Linked DNA regions of Kluyveromyces lactis. The protein of the gene in region 1 purifies or fractionates together with the protein of each later gene. This does not show direct contact. Links are inferred from orthologs where the notes say so. Each region holds a gene or a part of one and is shown in the gene's direction. Other genes may lie near its edges.

Region 1 (8,373 bases):
ATGTAATATGTTCATGTTGAACATTTCAGTCCAGTAATTTTGGTATGTATTTGAAAATTGCATGATTTCTATATAAGGGGATCAAACAAAGCTCCTTTAACAAGAAGATAAATAGTGAGGTCTAAAATATCATCACATTACTATATTTGCTTCACTTCTTGGAATATTGAAAGAGTTGTATTAACGGTATCACAAGTATTCGCTAGAAAAAGCAGTATAAAATGCTATCATCTCGTATTCAGCTATTGCGCTCTTCAAAACGATGCGTTGCGCAGCTATCCCATATTCAACCACCTAAACAAATTGGCAATGAGCCAGTTAAAGCGTTCGGTAGTAAGGATTTGGTTGATTGGGATTTACTAAGGGCTTCTTTATCTAAGTTCAAAAACTCCTCTTTGGACGTTCCTTTAGTCATTAACGGCGAACGTATTTATTATAACGACGACGGTGGTAAGAGAGGCATTTTCCAGCAATTGAACCCAGCCAACCACTCTGAAGTTTTAGCTAACGTTACTCAGGCTACTAATGAAGATGTTAAAGCTGCAATCCAAGCTTCTAAACAAGCTAAGGACAAATGGTACAAATTGCCATATTACGAGCGTGCCTCCGTTTTCATGAAGGCAGCTGATTTGATTTGTACCAAATACCGTTATGACATGCTCGCTGCCACTATGTTGGGTCAAGGTAAGAATGTATACCAAGCAGAAATCGATTGCATCACTGAATTGGCTGATTTCTTCAGATTCAACGTGAAGTATGCTAATGAATTGTACGCCCAACAACCCATTGAATCTTCTCCCGGTGTATGGAACAGGGCTGAATACAGACCTTTAGAAGGCTTTGTGTATGCAGTAACTCCGTTCAATTTCACTGCCATTGCTGGTAATTTGATCGGTGCGCCTGCGTTGATGGGTAACACTGTTGTGTGGAAACCTTCTCAAAACGCCAATTTGTCCAACTACTTGTTATTAACTGTTTTGGAAGAAGCAGGTTTGCCAAATGGTGTTGTGAATTTTGTCCCAGGTAACGCAGTGGAAGTCACCAAGGAAGTTTTGAGCGACTCGGAATTCGCTGCTTTACATTTCACTGGTTCTACTGCTGTTTTCAAGCAACTATATGGAGATATCCAGAAGGGTGTTGTGAATGGTTTGTACAGAGACTATCCGCGTATTGTCGGTGAGACTGGTGGTAAGAATTTCCACTTGATCCATCCAAGTGCTAACATTCCTCATTCTGTTCTATCCACTTTGAGAGGTGCATTTGAGTTCCAAGGTCAAAAATGTTCTGCTACTTCCAGAGTATACTTGCCCGAAAGTAAGAGCGAGGAATTTTTTCGTGATTTAGGAGGTGTCTTATCTGAAGTTCAACCAGTGAACACATCGGCATCTAAGATTAACGGTGGTGATTTACACGGTTTTATTGGCCCGGTGATCCATGAAGGTAGTTTTGATAAATTGGCCAAAGTGATTGACGATGCCAAGAACGATCCAGAATTGGAAATTGTTTTCGGAGGCTTCCATGATAAATCTAAGGGTTATTACATCCAACCAACAATCATAAAGACTACAAATCCAAGACATCCTTATTTAAGCCAAGAATTCTTTGGTCCAATATTGACTGTATACGAATATCCAGACGCAAAATTCGAAGACGTGTGTGAACTGGTTGATTCCACCAGCCAATATGGTTTAACGGGATCCATATTCGCCCGTGACCGTGAGGCTATTAAGATCGCTGATGAAAAATTGAAATACAGTGCAGGAAACTTCTACATCAACGATAAATCTACCGGGGCTGTTGTCGCTCAACAATGGTTTGGTGGTGCCAGAATGAGCGGTACTAATGACAAGGCCGGGTCTGGAAATATCTTGAACAGATTTGTTAGCGTCAGGAACATCAAAGAAAACTATTATGAATTGACAGACTACAGATATCCATCCAATTACGAATAAGTATATCGACCTGCATGAACTTTAAATTCCCAATCTATATAAATGTACAAATACCTAAACTCTTCAAGAAATAAAGTCTTTTTTTAGCGAAACGGAGACAACCTTGGACATGTATACGACAGTCACGCTGTAAGTGCTACTTTCGATGGTGCATGCCCAAGATCTCTCAAGCAGCTTCATTGTATATGAGGATGCCTTGTCTTTCAAACAGGCACATGTCCGGGTGACATTACTTGTGAGGCTAAAAATACTCCATATATTATTACATGTAAAACAGTGTGGATCCACCTCGTTTTAGATAGAATATAATAAATAATATGAAAAAACATGCTAATTAGTGACAATTTTTTAATATTCTACTTGCAATAGACTTGTTGAACTGACGAACGATATCGTTCAACATAATGTTTCGTTGAGCTATGGACGGACTTTTCATACTTCTTGACTTTGGCGTCCAATCTAACTGACTTGTTCCGAATTTGACTTTTTGCAAGTGGAGGGTAACAGAAAAGATTTTTTTTAGAAACTGCTAAAAGTGGAAATAGCTGATTTTATAAAATGAATTTTTGAAGAAGTTGAATTTAGAAGGAAGAAAAGATCAATTTAAGGAGTAAAGCCAAATTTGATCCCCCAAAACAGAACGGACCAACAGCTTCAAAGTCCTGCAAAGCTATCAATTATAGTTTATAGAGGGTTATTTTCTCTCTGCGAGTGTGTTTTTTTCTGTTTTCTTAGGATTATCTATCTTCGTTTTACTCGGGCTTGAATATTTCTTTCTAGTTCCCTTCTTTTTTTTTGGAGTTTTGCAATACCGTGTGATACAAGGTTTTCGAAAGCTTTGTCATCAGTGATATCATTTACTTGTGCTTTCACCAAACATTGTACGTTTTACAATTTGACTTATCCTCAAGTGAAATAGCTTCTCCCCTCCTTTTGAAATCTCTTTTTGTCATTCTGTCGATCTTCCCGTTTTATTGCTAATTTGAAATTGGGACTTTTTATTTTCTTTGACGATATACATTATTGGCTTTTAGTTAAATTTTCCTTTGAACGGCTCAATCACTTATAGTTTTTGGCACTGATTGATAGAACTACGTCTTGAATTTATTGGCGGAATCTTAGCGGATTATCTCGGAATCATAGTAACTATAGAATCTGTGACCTGGATACCAAAATATAATATTTACAACAATATCAGTACTAAAGGGCAAAATTAACCTAAAGTTATTATGCCAGAACAAGAAAGATTTGTTCAGACTACCGGTGGTAAGGGTACTCCGAAGCAAATTCACATTGCTCATAGGAAATCTCCTTCTGAACTTACGAATTTAATGATTGAGCAGTTTACTCTACAAAAACAGATCGAGAATAATAGTAGTGGCGGAAACTTAGGCGTACAGGGACAATCTGCCGCCAACTTTTTACCGCAACCACCCAACGTGCAGTATCAACTGTCCCCAAATTCAGGTAATAGAAAAGGCAGGTCTCATTCTAGAAGTGGTTCTGCATTCTACAACAATAACGATCACAAACAAAATCCTGCTGCAGGTGGACACAGAAGAACTGGCTCTCAGACGAGCGTATATGGACATTCCAGAAGACAATCCATTGGTTTGAATGAAGCCAAGAGAGCCGCTGCAGAAGAACAAGCAAAAAGAGAAAGTGGACCTCAGATCAAAATTGACAATGTTCAAGATATCCCTAAGTTAGTCGATGAAAATGAACAAACGAGCTTCAAATTCCCTGGATCTCCAACAACCGAGTCTAAGAATCTAGGTCACCGTAGAACTCAGTCAAATATGTCCCCTAATAGATCATTCCAGTTTCCACCTGCTAAGTTGAACCAAAAGGAAAACAATGATGATTTCATACCCGTTGGAACCCCGCATCGTCGCACTAATTCGAAAAATGAAGGTATCGACGGTAATTGGAGGTTGCAACAACAGCAACAGCAGGTATCGCCATTTCATCACTCTAGAACGCATTCAAGAGAATATTCAGGCCACCCAGGTTTGGAACCACCACCTGTCTTCCAACCAGGTCATAAATCACGTGGATCCAATGCTTCTTCCCACAGTTTTACCTCGGCAAATGGCCAGCAAAACTCCAATGGCCGTAAATCACTTTTCGCACCCTATTTGCCACAAGCTAACATTCCTCAACTAATTGAAGAAGGCAAATTGGTTGCAGGTATTCTACGGGTCAACAAGAAAAATAGATCGGATGCCTGGGTTTCGACCAACGGTGTGTTGGACGCCGATATTTTCATTTGTGGTTCGAAGGATCGTAATAGAGCTTTGGAAGGTGATCTTGTTGCCGTTGAGCTTTTGATGGTTGACGATGTCTGGGAATCGAAAAAGGAAAAGGAAGAGAAGAAGAGAAGAAAAGATGCAAGCACTCAACAAGATATTATTCCACTAGACTCTAAAGATGATTACCATAATGATGCTTCAACAAGTATTGTTACAAGCGCATCATGCTCTAGTGAAAATAAAGGATCAGATGCTACATTGGGATCTTCATCTGGCTCCATCAAAAGAAGAGGATCATTGAAGCAGCGCCCAACTCAAAAGAAGAATGATGACGTAGAGGTTGAAGGTCAATCTTTATTATTGGTCGAGGAAGAAGAGATTAATGATGATTACAGGCCTTTGTACGCTGGACACGTAGTCGCGGTGTTAGACCGTATTCCGGGCCAACTATTTAGCGGTACTTTGGGTCTATTAAGACCATCTCAACAAGCGAACAACGATGTGAATAAGCCAAATAAGCCGAAAATTGTTTGGTTCAAACCTACCGATAAGAAAGTTCCTCTAATTGCCATTTCGATAGAACAGGCGCCTAAGGACTTCGTCGAAAATGCTGATAAGTATCTGAATAAAGTTTTCGTTGCTAGCATCAAGCGCTGGCCAATCACTTCTTTGCATCCCTTTGGTACTCTTGTCTCGCAATTAGGCGATGTGAACGATCCAAAAACTGAGATTGATTCAATTTTGAGAGACAATAATTTCTTAAGTGATGAATATTTAGACCCTCAGGACCGTACAAAGGAGAGAGATAGTTTTGCACCTGTATTGCTTTCAGAAGAGCAAAGCAAAACAAGGCGTACTTATGAAAATGTCATTGCCATTTCAGAAACTGGTGAAGTTTCTGATTATGCGGTCCATTTAAGAGACACTGACAACGGTAACCTTGAATTAGGATTTCATGTTGTTGATGTAACAGTCCATATTGAAGAAGGTTCATCTTTGGATAGAAGAGCTAGGAAAAGATCTAGCGCTGTCTTCATGCCACAGAAGACTGTTGGTTTGCTTCCAGCCGCTCTGAATGAATTCTTAAGTTTGCAGCCCGAGAAACTGTCAAACACTGTCAGTATAATATATGAACTGAAGCCTGAAAACTTTGATATTGTTACAACGTGGATAGGCGAGACTCGTGTCAAGCCAAACACCTCATTGACACATGACAGGCTTAATCAAGAATTGGAGAGATCTTCAGCTTCGGGCTCAAAGTTTGTTGAGAAACTTGAGGCAGTGGCTAAAGAATTTTACCGCTGTAGGCTTAACTCCAAAAATGCTGATTTATACAGGACTTTGCCCCTTTTGGAATCTCTCGATGACGAGAAGGTTAAAGTTGATTTGAATATTTTACAACGTTCTAAAGCTTTGACCCTTTTATCGGAAATAGAGCGTAAAGTGAATAATACCGTTGCTACTCGATTGTTCACTTCCCTGGGAGATGTTGCTTTCTTGAGAAGACAACCAGAACCAATTTCTACCAAATTGAAAACGTTCCAAAAGAAAGTTGAAAAACTTGGCGTTGAGATGGATATAACAAGTTCTGAATCAGTTTTGAATTCAATTCTTGCCATAGATAATAACACTACAAGAATGGCGGTTGAGTTATTTTTATCCAAGACCTTAACACCGGCTAAATATTTCATATCTGGTAAAGTCGAACCTGACCAATTTGCGCATTATTCATTGAATTTGCCATTGTTCACACATTTCACAGCTCCTTTGAGAAGATACTCTGATCATGTGGTTCATAGGCAGTTGAAGAGCATAATTAATGGTACAGAGTATAAAGAAACTATTGAATCTTTAAAAATCACGTCTGAATATTGTAATTTCAAAAAGGATTGTGCACATCACGCACAGGAACAGGCTATCCATTTACTCCTCTGCAAAACAACAAATGACATGGGGAATCAAAACGGTCAAGTACTAACTTTGGCCACTGTTTTGCAAGTATATGAATCTTCTTTTGATGTGTTTATCCCTGAATTAGGTATTGAAAAGAGAGTTCACGGTGATCAGTTACCTCTTGTTAAAGCAGAATTTGACGTTGCCGAGAGAGTCTTAGAACTCTACTGGAAGAAAGGTGTTGATAGTGCGACTTTTGTGCCATCTGACGAACAGAATCCAAAATCTTACAGAAACTCTATTAAAAATAAGTTTAACTCCAGCAGTAAAGAAATTGCTTTCAATCAAAACAGCTTGCAGAACAATTTGATTAGTGAGCAATTTAGCAAAGAATTGAAAGAATTGAAATTGACACCACCATCTTTGAATTTGCGAAAGTTCAACAACGCAGATGCATTGGAAGGATATTTCGAAACCACTGTCACAAGAGAAGAAGGTGACAACTATATTCAAGAGATCAGAGAACTTCAACAAGTTCCTCTACTCTTAAGAGCAGAAATTGGTATGGCGTTACCATGCTTGACTGTTCGTGCATTAAACCCATTTATGAGAAGTTGAACTCTTTCTCAAATGAGTTCCATTAATTTCTTCAGTTCTATTCACGTATCCGAACGGCGTATACCTATAACGCTTACATTTTTTATCTAATTTCATGTATATTATCTTGATATATGTCTATATAACGAATGCAAATTTTTCTAGTAACTCATTTGGAATATAGAAACTTCTTCTAGTTTCGTTTTTGTTAGTTGCAGTTAATAGAATTCTCTTTATTTGAGAAACAAATGTCACTTTAAGATCCTAAACCACAGAAATACTACAGACGAGTCGGGTACTAAATATGTATATCGTATCAGGAATTTCTAATGAAAAAAACCGATACCGAGCACAACAAGATTTTAGAGGTTTACCACTACTACTAGTGTTACACTTAATATCCTTCCCTTAGGTGTAGATCTTTGAATGTTGTTTTGGAATAATTTCAATAGGTGGTATACAAAAAGATCTATTTCCAACTTAATAGCTAAATATATGATACAAACAGTTCCCTTAGTTCATTCCATTGTGAAAGTTTAGAATTATTTGTAACTCTCATTTGTCTAGCACCTTCAGTTAGCTATTGCATCTTGCTTATACTTTCTCTTGGACTATTTACAAGCAAACCACCATCTTGCACAATGAATTCTTGACGACAGGAAAAAAGACTTTAATATTGAGATCATGAACATAACAATATCTTCGCACCAAAAGGAAGGAATTGAACATTCCAATGTATAATCACTCAATAAATACAGTGATTTTGACCAGTCATGTCACTACAAGCGTTTAGAATCGGTTTACTAAGTACCACAGCTGCTCCTTTAGCATATGCTCGCCCATTTAGTTCTTATGCGGCCCTTTTGGCAAAGAAAAAAGGCAAGACAAGTGGAAAACCAGGAAAGGCTGACAATGAAGAGCCTATCGAGATAATAGATGTCAAGAAGTATGTCATCGACGCTACTAAACAATTTGAGAAGACTCTTGAATTGCACAAAAGGAAATTGGCTGAGCAAAAAGTTGGAACCGCAAGCCCAACAATTTTCAATGATTTGAGAGTAGGTAAAGAAGGACAAAAGTTTACGGAACTAGCTGCGACCAGTTTGAAGGGTAGGAATGCTCTTATTGTGACTGTTTTTGATCCTAAAGATACCAAAAATATTGTTAGTGCCATTATGGCAGCAGGTTTAAATTTAAACCCCGAGAGAATTCCTAATAATGATCAACAGCTTAAAGTTTCTCTCCCACCAATCACAACAGAGACACGCCAAGCAGTCTGTAAAGACCTAAAGAAAGTATTCGAAGATTACAAGCACTCTGCCCTGAAGGAATCCTTGGGCCATGTCCGTGGCGAAATAATGAAAGAATTAAAGCATCTACAAAAAAAGAATGACGATGTCAAAAAGGTTATTCAAGATGTTGAAAAGATTCACAAAGAATATACCATTAAACTACAAGAACAATTGAAACAAGCAGAGAAAAGCGTAATGAACCAATAGGTGTATCGTTTTTCTTAAAGCCATGTTCTTTTCAAATGAGCGCTATACGAGCTTTCTGTAAAAAAGGGCAGTACACAGATTCAATTCTTGTCAATATTTTAGCGAAGAGTGTACGTTCGTTTTACATACAAACCGATATGTATTTATAGATTGATTAAAGTCCGAAGATGTGATATCAGT
Region 2 (4,245 bases), on another chromosome or scaffold:
TTATGAAACAGCCAAAAACATCCCATTATCGTGTAACACACCGCTATACAGTCAGACAAATCAAGTCTCCATGTTTACACCACCGACTGATCCGAAGAAATCCGTCAAGGTAAAGGTCTCACAGCTCTGTGAACTATGCCATGCGAGAAAGGCAGTGATGAAAAGACCGAAGAATTTACAACGGATCTGTAAAGAGTGTTTCTTCTCTGTATTCGAGACAGAAATACATAACACCATTGTATCAAACAACCTTTTTCACCGAGGCGAACGTATTGCAGTCGGTGCTTCTGGAGGTAAAGATTCCACGGTCTTAGCATACGTTTTAAAGCTTTTGAATGATCGCCATGATTATGGAGTTGAGATTGTTCTTTTGAGTATTGATGAGGGTATTGTCGGATATAGAGACGATTCGTTAGCTACAGTGAAGAGAAATCAAGTACAGTATGACCTTCCGTTGGAAATAGTATCTTATAAAGATTTGTACAATTGGACAATGGATGAGATCGTAGCATGCGCTGGCATAAGAAACAGTTGTACCTATTGCGGAGTCTTCAGGCGACAAGCTCTAGACAGAGGAGCTGCCAAGCTAGGAATCAAACATGTAGTTACTGGTCATAATGCGGATGATATGGCGGAAACCGTCTTGATGAACATTTTACGTGGTGATGTTGCCAGGCTGGAAAAATCAACATCCATTCTTACTCAGAGTAGTGGGTCACCGATCAAGAGGTCGAAGCCGTTCAAGTATTCATACCAAAAGGAAATTGTCTTGTATGCCCACTATAAGAAATTAGACTACTTTTCAACCGAGTGTTCTTATGCCCCGGAAGCGTTTAGAGGTACCGCTAGAGAACTCATGAAGAACCTGGAAGCAATCAGACCAAGTTGCATTATCGACATCATTCACAGCGGAGAAAGCTTGAAGCTAAAACCAAAGCGCGCTAAGAAGGCACCACCACCAAGTCACATGGAAATACGGCCCGATGGCTCAGTGTCATTACAAAATGAGTTTATCGATGGAAACAGATGCGAAAGATGCGGATATCTTTCCAGTAATAAGATATGTAAAGCGTGCATGCTTTTAGAGGGATTGGAACAAAACAGAGCTAAGATCCAACTTGAAAAAGATTCAACTACTGAGGGAGCTGCAAAACTATCAAGAACTCTTGAGAAATTACAGTTCTGAACTATTAGCTGCTCATTTTAGTACTCCTTCCTGCATGTCTTTACTAAATATTACCATATTTATAATTATTTTATTTACATCTCAAAATCGTTACAGTTGCACATTTTTTTTTGATGAATGCAATTTAACTGCAGTATTTCAGATATAATAGAAGTTCTAATAATGCATGATGAACAATACAAAGACGGAAAATACACAACGGTGTAGGATAACAAAACACGATAACGGTCGTTGAGACCGCATTAACAATTTAACAACAATGAGGTCTTTTATAAAAACTCATAAAAGAGCTTCATCTTTAGATAATAGCCCCAGAAAATCTTCCAACGAAAGTCCCGAAAACAGGAGAAACTCACAAGGTTCTTTTGGGACTGAGCTATCTTATCCATCAGGGTACCCACCTAACAATGTTTTAAAGCAATCTTCAAGTTTCGAGCCGCTTCATAAACTTACTAGTAACAAAATTTTCAGTTCTAAGTTGTTTAAGAAAAGCTCCAATGGAAAGACCAGTTCATCGAATACGTCACCACTGCTAAGCCGGTCTGATGCAGAAACATTCGCTCCTTTACTTTCCAACACCAATAACATACCAGCCATCAAGGGTACCCGAAAGCATGAATGGGGTGATAATGATGATACTTCAGAATCTGTTATTCTTTTGAATAGGACTTCAATGTCATCTATGTCCGATACTAACCAAGACACGCCGGATACTGAAATCGTTCGTATACATCCAAATTCCCAGCAAGGAAGTATTTTATCGTCACAAACGTCTGCGGATAGAACACCGAGACTTTCGCTTGAGGAAGCAGAAGACGTTGAAGATTATGACATAACAAAACATTCCTCTCTGAGTAGGAGCCAATCCCTCAAAAAGAAAAGAAATAGACTTGCCAGAATCCATTCACACGATGATATAATGCATTTGAGGAGCCAAAGTTCATTTTCAAGCGACCTATTGGGTAGCGGGTTTAGTCCTATACCTGAGAAATCGCCAAACCCATCACCTCTACCAAAATATGAAAGATCTCCTAGAAAGGAGAATAACATACTTGACAGGACAAATCTTTTCGACCTGCGAAAGATTTCAGAAGCTTCTTATACTGCAGAGGATGAATCCAATTTCAATAGGCCATTTACAGGAGTTGCAGGAGGTGAAACTATTCAAATTACAACTTCCATCAAGGACAGCTTCGTACCATCACCGGAGACTTCTCATAAAATAAGATTCGCCGCAGATAATGTAATTCCATTGAGCAAAGCACAAATTATAGAAAATTCTGCATCCGAAGCTGATGAAGATGATTCAAATGAAGAAGACGGAGAGGAGGAATCAGATTCCTCTTCTAGATTTTCATTCGAAAACGGTAATGATCTGTGTGGAAGAACAGCTTCTTTGAAATATTACTCAACTGAAACAAATACCCCACCACTGTACGTGAATGATATATATGAGAACGATAATTTTGACGATGAAATGAACTACTTTGATTCTAATGAAGAAGAAGATGAAAATATGGACCATTTATATGGTGGGGACAATACAGCGTTATCAGGCTTTGCAGGAATGTGTACGTTGTCAGACGACGAATTTGATCGCACAAATGCAGCAATATCACAAGAATTATCATCGCACTCGTCCCAGTCGTCCAAAGGATATACTGAAAGACAGAGAGGCTTTTCCAAACGCGATTCAAACAAAAGTTTTGAAGATGGGAATGACGATTATGACCCGTCAAACCATTGCCGATCGTATCATGATATATATAACTTAAGTGACGAAGAAGAAGCGCAAACTATCAACAAGAAAGTTACTGAACCTCGTAAAAGAAAAATTTCTGATGGGACTAATAAAGTTACCAAATACGCTGACATGTTTTTGCTCAGTGACGATGATGCGGAAAGTGGTTCTCAAGATGAAGATTTCGGAGACGAGAGTCGCGAAAACGATGTGAAGTTCAACGTCAATAGTGAGCGGTACGGGGTTGAGCACACGAATTTAGTGACAACTCAGAATCATAACTTAAATCCTATCAGCTTCAAATCTCCAAGCCGCTTCTTGGATGTTTCAAATGTGAATCATTCTCCTTTGGCGTATAAAACTCCAGAGAGAAATATCCTAAAGTCACCTTTACAGCAGCCCATAAAATATCATGGAGTGAGCAGCTTACTCGATAATGACATCCAAGGGACGATGAAAAATCTATATTATATAGATGAAACCGACGAGGATAGGTTTCTTGAAAATTCTGCTGAATCAGAAGAGTACTATTTGGATGAAATAAATGGGATACCGGAGGATTTTGAATTTTCGGACGATGAAAATATTATGCGGAATCTTTCACCTTTAAGTAGGTTGAATCGAACAAAACTTTTAGCCTTTAGAAGGACACATAGCTATTCTGACCGGCCACTGGGTGTATTGAAAGATAACACTCCTCTTAATTACAAGTTGGAAATAAAAAATAAAACAGTCACATTTTTTGATCATAATTCAATTCATAGGTCATATTCTGAACCTTTCAGTTCATCATTACTCCATGATTCCCGAAAGTCTGAAGATAATTGCGAGGACCGAATACTCGATAACAAAACTCTTGCTTCACCTGTTACCCCCAACAGCTCATTCACGAAGCCTTCTCCAAGCTTTACACAGAATTCTTCCCTCAGCCCAATTCAGGAATCTACGACCTCATCAGACGCATCTCCCAAGATATTATAAACAGGACATTTAAAAAGACAATCTGTAATATTACATACCGTACCATCTCATAGCCGGATATTAACTAACTAGAATAATATATATGTTATTGTGTTAGTGTTGTATCCCCTGTATTCTCTCCATATATCTTCTCTGCTTTTCAGGAGACATTTTATTATGGCGCAGTGCATTCTTTTGTCCATTGAGCAAAGGTCGTGGGAGTGGTGGCAAGGATTTTGACTTAGATATAGTTCCCGGTTCCTTTTTATTGTTTGAAGTTAGCTCAAGTATTAAGCCCTTGAGTTCTTCTGCTGTCTGTTCGCATAAATCAGCAATTTCTGCCGATTTTCTTTGAGAT
Region 3 (4,241 bases), on another chromosome or scaffold:
AGGGTCATGTTCCACTTTGGTGGTATGAGCGAATGATGCTCTTCGGTATCAGTGGTTTAAAATCTTATTTCCACCCGGAGAACGGTGAGAACATCGTTCAATTAGGAGAAGCTACTGCTCTACCTTGCTTTCTTGAAAGTTTAAAACGGACAATGTTGTTAGATAAGACTGGTAGAAGGATTCTACAAGACAGACCAAACATCACATCGGAAAGCCTTGACATGGAACGATTGTCAAAGATGGATAAAAATTCAGTTGGCTATACGTACTACAAATGGTTGATGAAAGAGGGGGTCTCTCCAGACACAAGGGCACCAGTTACTTATATCGATGATCCTGTCCATGCTTTCATATTTAAGAGATATAGACAATGCCATGACTTTTATCATGCAATAAATGACCTACCAATCATAATCGAAGGTGAGATTGCAGTTAAAGCATTTGAGGCATCAAACATTGGTGTCCCAATGGCTGCACTTGGTGCTCTATTAGCACCATTGAGATTAAAGAAAGTGCAAAAGGAAAGACTTTACTCCATCTACCTCCCATGGGCAGTCAAAGCAGGGCTGAATTGCAAACCTCTCATCAATGTCTATTGGGAAGAAATCTTGGATAAGGACATAGACGAACTAAGAAGAGAATTAAACGTCACACCACCTCCAGATTTGAGAAAAATTAGAAAGGAAAGAGCGAAACAAAGAAAACAGTTCAAGCTTAAGTATGAGACCTACGAGAAATGAATTTTAAACCCTCAATCCCCAAATCGTGATGGCTGGCGTAAAGTTGCTTTGTAAAGTATAATGCAGGGTCATTCTGTGGATATAGGAACCAGGAAAAAAGAAATAGAAATACGTACGTAATGAAATAAACGTCTTCAATTGAAGAGGAAAAAGATCGCCTTTGCTTGATCGATTAAAAAATATATCTATAGCTAACATCCTTGCTACGTACAGTACCACTGCCTACACTTTTATTTGCTAACGCGGTATGTTAAACAATTATGATCGAACTTCAGTACGATGTCCTCTTTCCCTCGGTGTGCTTTGCAGCCTTAAAACTGTTCTTTTTTCTTATCACTGCGTTTAGCGGCCAAGAAGAAGAAAAAAAAGAACAAAGTTAAAAACTATCCAATTTAAGACTTCTGACCAGGGCATCTCATCTCACCCCATAATAAAAGAGAAGCAGTGTCTTGTGAGGGTTTTAAGCGGAAGGGGAGGATAATCTGATATTGAACATACAAGAATCTGTTACTTCAAAGCTCTTATAGCGCTTGTGTTTAATCCTCTTTGTCCTTTTTTTTTAACTGGAAGAAGTCACTGACGCTTTCGACGAAGTGTAAACATTCAAGTTTTCTTTCGGACTCACTCGGTTGTTAACGCATTGCAACTTTTGCTTACAAGACTTTGAACCTATTTTGTCAGGTCACAATTAGCAGAAAGAGCTTACGAGATCTTGCCATTTATTAGGGCTTCGATCAGCATAATATAAGATATGTCTGAATCTAACAATATGCATGTTTCTGGGGATGGTGCCAAACAGTCGGTATACACTGAGAAGAAACGCGTGAAAGTCTATGTGTTGGAAAATAACGAGTGGAAGGATACTGGGACAGGGTTTTGTCAGGGGACAGTGGAAGAGCGTACTATAGATGACACTCAGACTGCAGAGAAAATGGCGTATCTTTTGGTGGTCGATGAAGACTCCGATGACCAGGTCTTACTTAAGTCCAGGCTCGAACAAAACATCGAATACCAGCGTCAAGAGGAAACTCTTATTGTCTGGAAGGATCTGAATGGTCAGGATATAGCTTTATCCTTTGAAGAAAGCATTGGATGCGATTCTTTATGTGAATATATTTGCTTTGTACAGAAAAACATTGAAAGCCGCATCTCTTTGGTAGCTGTAAGATCGACAGATGATGGAATCGGGTCTGTTCATGAGATAATAACAGGACCGGTCAATCTTCCCTCAAATGTACCAAACCAGACAGAAGAATCCCTTTTAGAAGCATTGAAAATTCTAAACGAAAACACGTCATTTGATTATCTGCGAAATGAGACAATTCAATTTGTTATCAACGATCACTATTTAGCAACACTAATCAGATCATTCTATCAGTCAGAAGAATCTAAACTATATCGAAATTTATTATTATTGAGCAACATTGTGAAAACTCTAATATTGTTCAACAGCAAGGAGATTTTGGAAGAGATGATCAATGATGAAAACTTTTTATGCGTTTGCGGTATATTGGAATATGATACTGAATTTCCAAACTCAAAACTTAACCATAGACAATATTTGAAAGATAAGGAGCCAAATTTCAAGGAAATGATTCCCATCTCAGATCCAACGATCAAATTAATGATTACGCAAAATTTTAGGCTTCAATTTTTGAAAGATGTGGTTCTAGTTAGATTTTTGGATGATCAATCTTTCACCTTCATATCTGACCTAATGTTGTCATACCAGAATTCCATAATAGATTTCCTACAGGAGGATAGCAACAATTTTATTAATCAAGTCATCTCGATGTATAAAGTTGAGGAGGATTCAACCGTCACCCCAGATAAAAGAAGGGACGGTATAAAACTATTACATGAATGCATCCAACTTTCCCAAAACCTAAATTCAATAGAAAAAACCCTTTTCTACAAATTTTTAATCAAGAAAGGGTTGTTCCAAGTCATCCAATTTGCATTCAACATGGAAACTAATAACGATATTCGAATCCTTGCAACGGATATAGTTGTGGGGCTCATTGAACACGATATCCAACTAATCCAAAGTGTGCAAAGTGACGAAGTCACCTTATTGAATGACGAGAATTCAGATATTGATTCTACAGATATGTCTCTTTTACTTATATTGACCAAGATCCTGCTCACTGATAAGAGTCCGGGATTGAAGGAACAGTCCTTCCAAGCACTTGTAAGTTTATTAGATCCTGAAGACTATATTGTAGATGACTATCAAAACCATGATGACAATATCGACACACGAATTGATAACATGCTTCAAATTCAGAATGGCAAAAATCATGATGGATTAGACGGTGAACGAAATCACGAGAAATTTCAGCTAGCTGAGTACTTGCAATGTTTCTATAGACAAGTTGCGCCCTCCCTTTTCCATTGCTTCATCGATGGATCTGTTAATCTCTATGAATGTGATCAACAGTTACTCATAAAACTTGTGAAACTTCTCAATCTCATGATTCAAGGTCATGAGGCATCAATATCTAGACGATTTATTCTCGAGAATGGAATTTTGATCAGGCTTATATCACTTGCTTCAAGCGATTATATCCTTCAATTAAGGCTTGCTGCAGTGCGTTGTTTCAAAAACATCGTATTTTTAAATGACGACTTCTATCTTCGATATCTTATTGGTAAGAATCTCTTCGATCCAATATTTGAAGTTTTTAAGGAAAATTTGAACGAAGATAATATGGCTAATTCTACAATTTTAGATTTCTTAAAGTCGTTAAACACTCAATTAAAAGTGGTTGAGCAGGAAGATATTCCGCTTTCCGGTAGTAAAAGTTCAAGGAATTTCATGCTGTTGAATAAGTACATCTGCGGTAGATATGGTGATATATTACTGAAGGCAGATTACGTTTCTTTCACAAGAGAAATGATGGCTATTTATCATGAGGAAACCCAAAAGCTTGCTAGTTTATCAACAACGGAAACTAGCTTTGATGAAAATGATAATACTACACTGGAAGTTGAAGTATGACATTCAGATATATCTGAAGATGTGATGCATTTAGATGCATATTAATAATAAGGTTAAAAAGAAGGAGGTTGTTGTTTTATATAGGGATAAGTATTAAAAAAACTAGGATAATATTCAATTCAAGGTCAGATCTTGCATTCTCTAATTGAAAAACAAGACTTTGAAGTTATAGATGGGAGAAAAAGAATAAGAGTTATATGATCTGTGTGTTACAGATTTACTATTTTGAATGATCCAATCACAATGTGCAATGGATTCTCCGTTAGTCAACTAATAGCCAGAAGGAGAAGGTTCTTATAGTTTTGAATCAAAAGCATAATTCAACTCTTTAGGATAAAACTCTCTCGTTATTTGTGTGCCTACATGCCAGGCACCACCGTCGACGACGTGAATAGTTCCGGTGATGTATGAAGCTGCAGGAGAAAAAAGGAACACTGTCGTGTTTGCAATATCAACTGTTGTGCCAAGCCTTTGCAATGGAATCATCTCTGACAGATCTG

What was found. Proteins that work in one complex are often made in the same cells at the same time.
Region 2: the proteins of SSD1 (region 1) and ZRG8 purify together in Saccharomyces cerevisiae (affinity purification with mass spectrometry; 3 studies listed by BioGRID, with this or other methods). This does not show direct contact. The link is inferred for Kluyveromyces lactis from reciprocal best matches to the Saccharomyces cerevisiae genes SSD1 and ZRG8.
Region 3: the proteins of SSD1 (region 1) and PSY2 purify together in Saccharomyces cerevisiae (affinity purification with mass spectrometry; 3 studies listed by BioGRID). This does not show direct contact. The link is inferred for Kluyveromyces lactis from reciprocal best matches to the Saccharomyces cerevisiae genes SSD1 and PSY2.

The regions. Positions count from the first base shown.
Region 1 is NC_006039.1:903,667-912,039, forward strand, and holds SSD1 (mRNA-binding translational repressor SSD1), read left to right. Parts: upstream 1-3,181; coding exon 3,182-6,715; downstream 6,716-8,373. Other genes in the region: PUT2 (1-pyrroline-5-carboxylate dehydrogenase), read left to right, coding at 222-1,952; RRF1 (Rrf1p), read left to right, coding at 7,468-8,193. UniProt on the Saccharomyces cerevisiae protein: Can suppress the lethality due to deletion of SIT4, and partially the defects due to BCY1 disruption. Is implicated in the control of the cell cycle G1 phase.
Region 2 is NC_006038.1:55,035-59,279, reverse strand, and holds ZRG8 (Zrg8p), read left to right. Parts: upstream 1-1,445; coding exon 1,446-3,908; downstream 3,909-4,245. Other genes in the region: NCS6 (Ncs6p), read left to right, coding at 71-1,186; FIR1 (Fir1p), read right to left, coding at 4,002-4,245. UniProt on the Saccharomyces cerevisiae protein: Involved in the integrity functions of RAM, a conserved signaling network that regulates maintenance of polarized growth and daughter-cell-specific transcription.
Region 3 is NC_006040.1:1,588,593-1,592,833, forward strand, and holds PSY2 (Psy2p), read left to right. Parts: upstream 1-1,491; coding exon 1,492-3,741; downstream 3,742-4,241. Other genes in the region: ubiquinone biosynthesis protein COQ4, read left to right, coding at 1-740; SPS19 (2,4-dienoyl-CoA reductase (NADPH)), read right to left, coding at 4,036-4,241.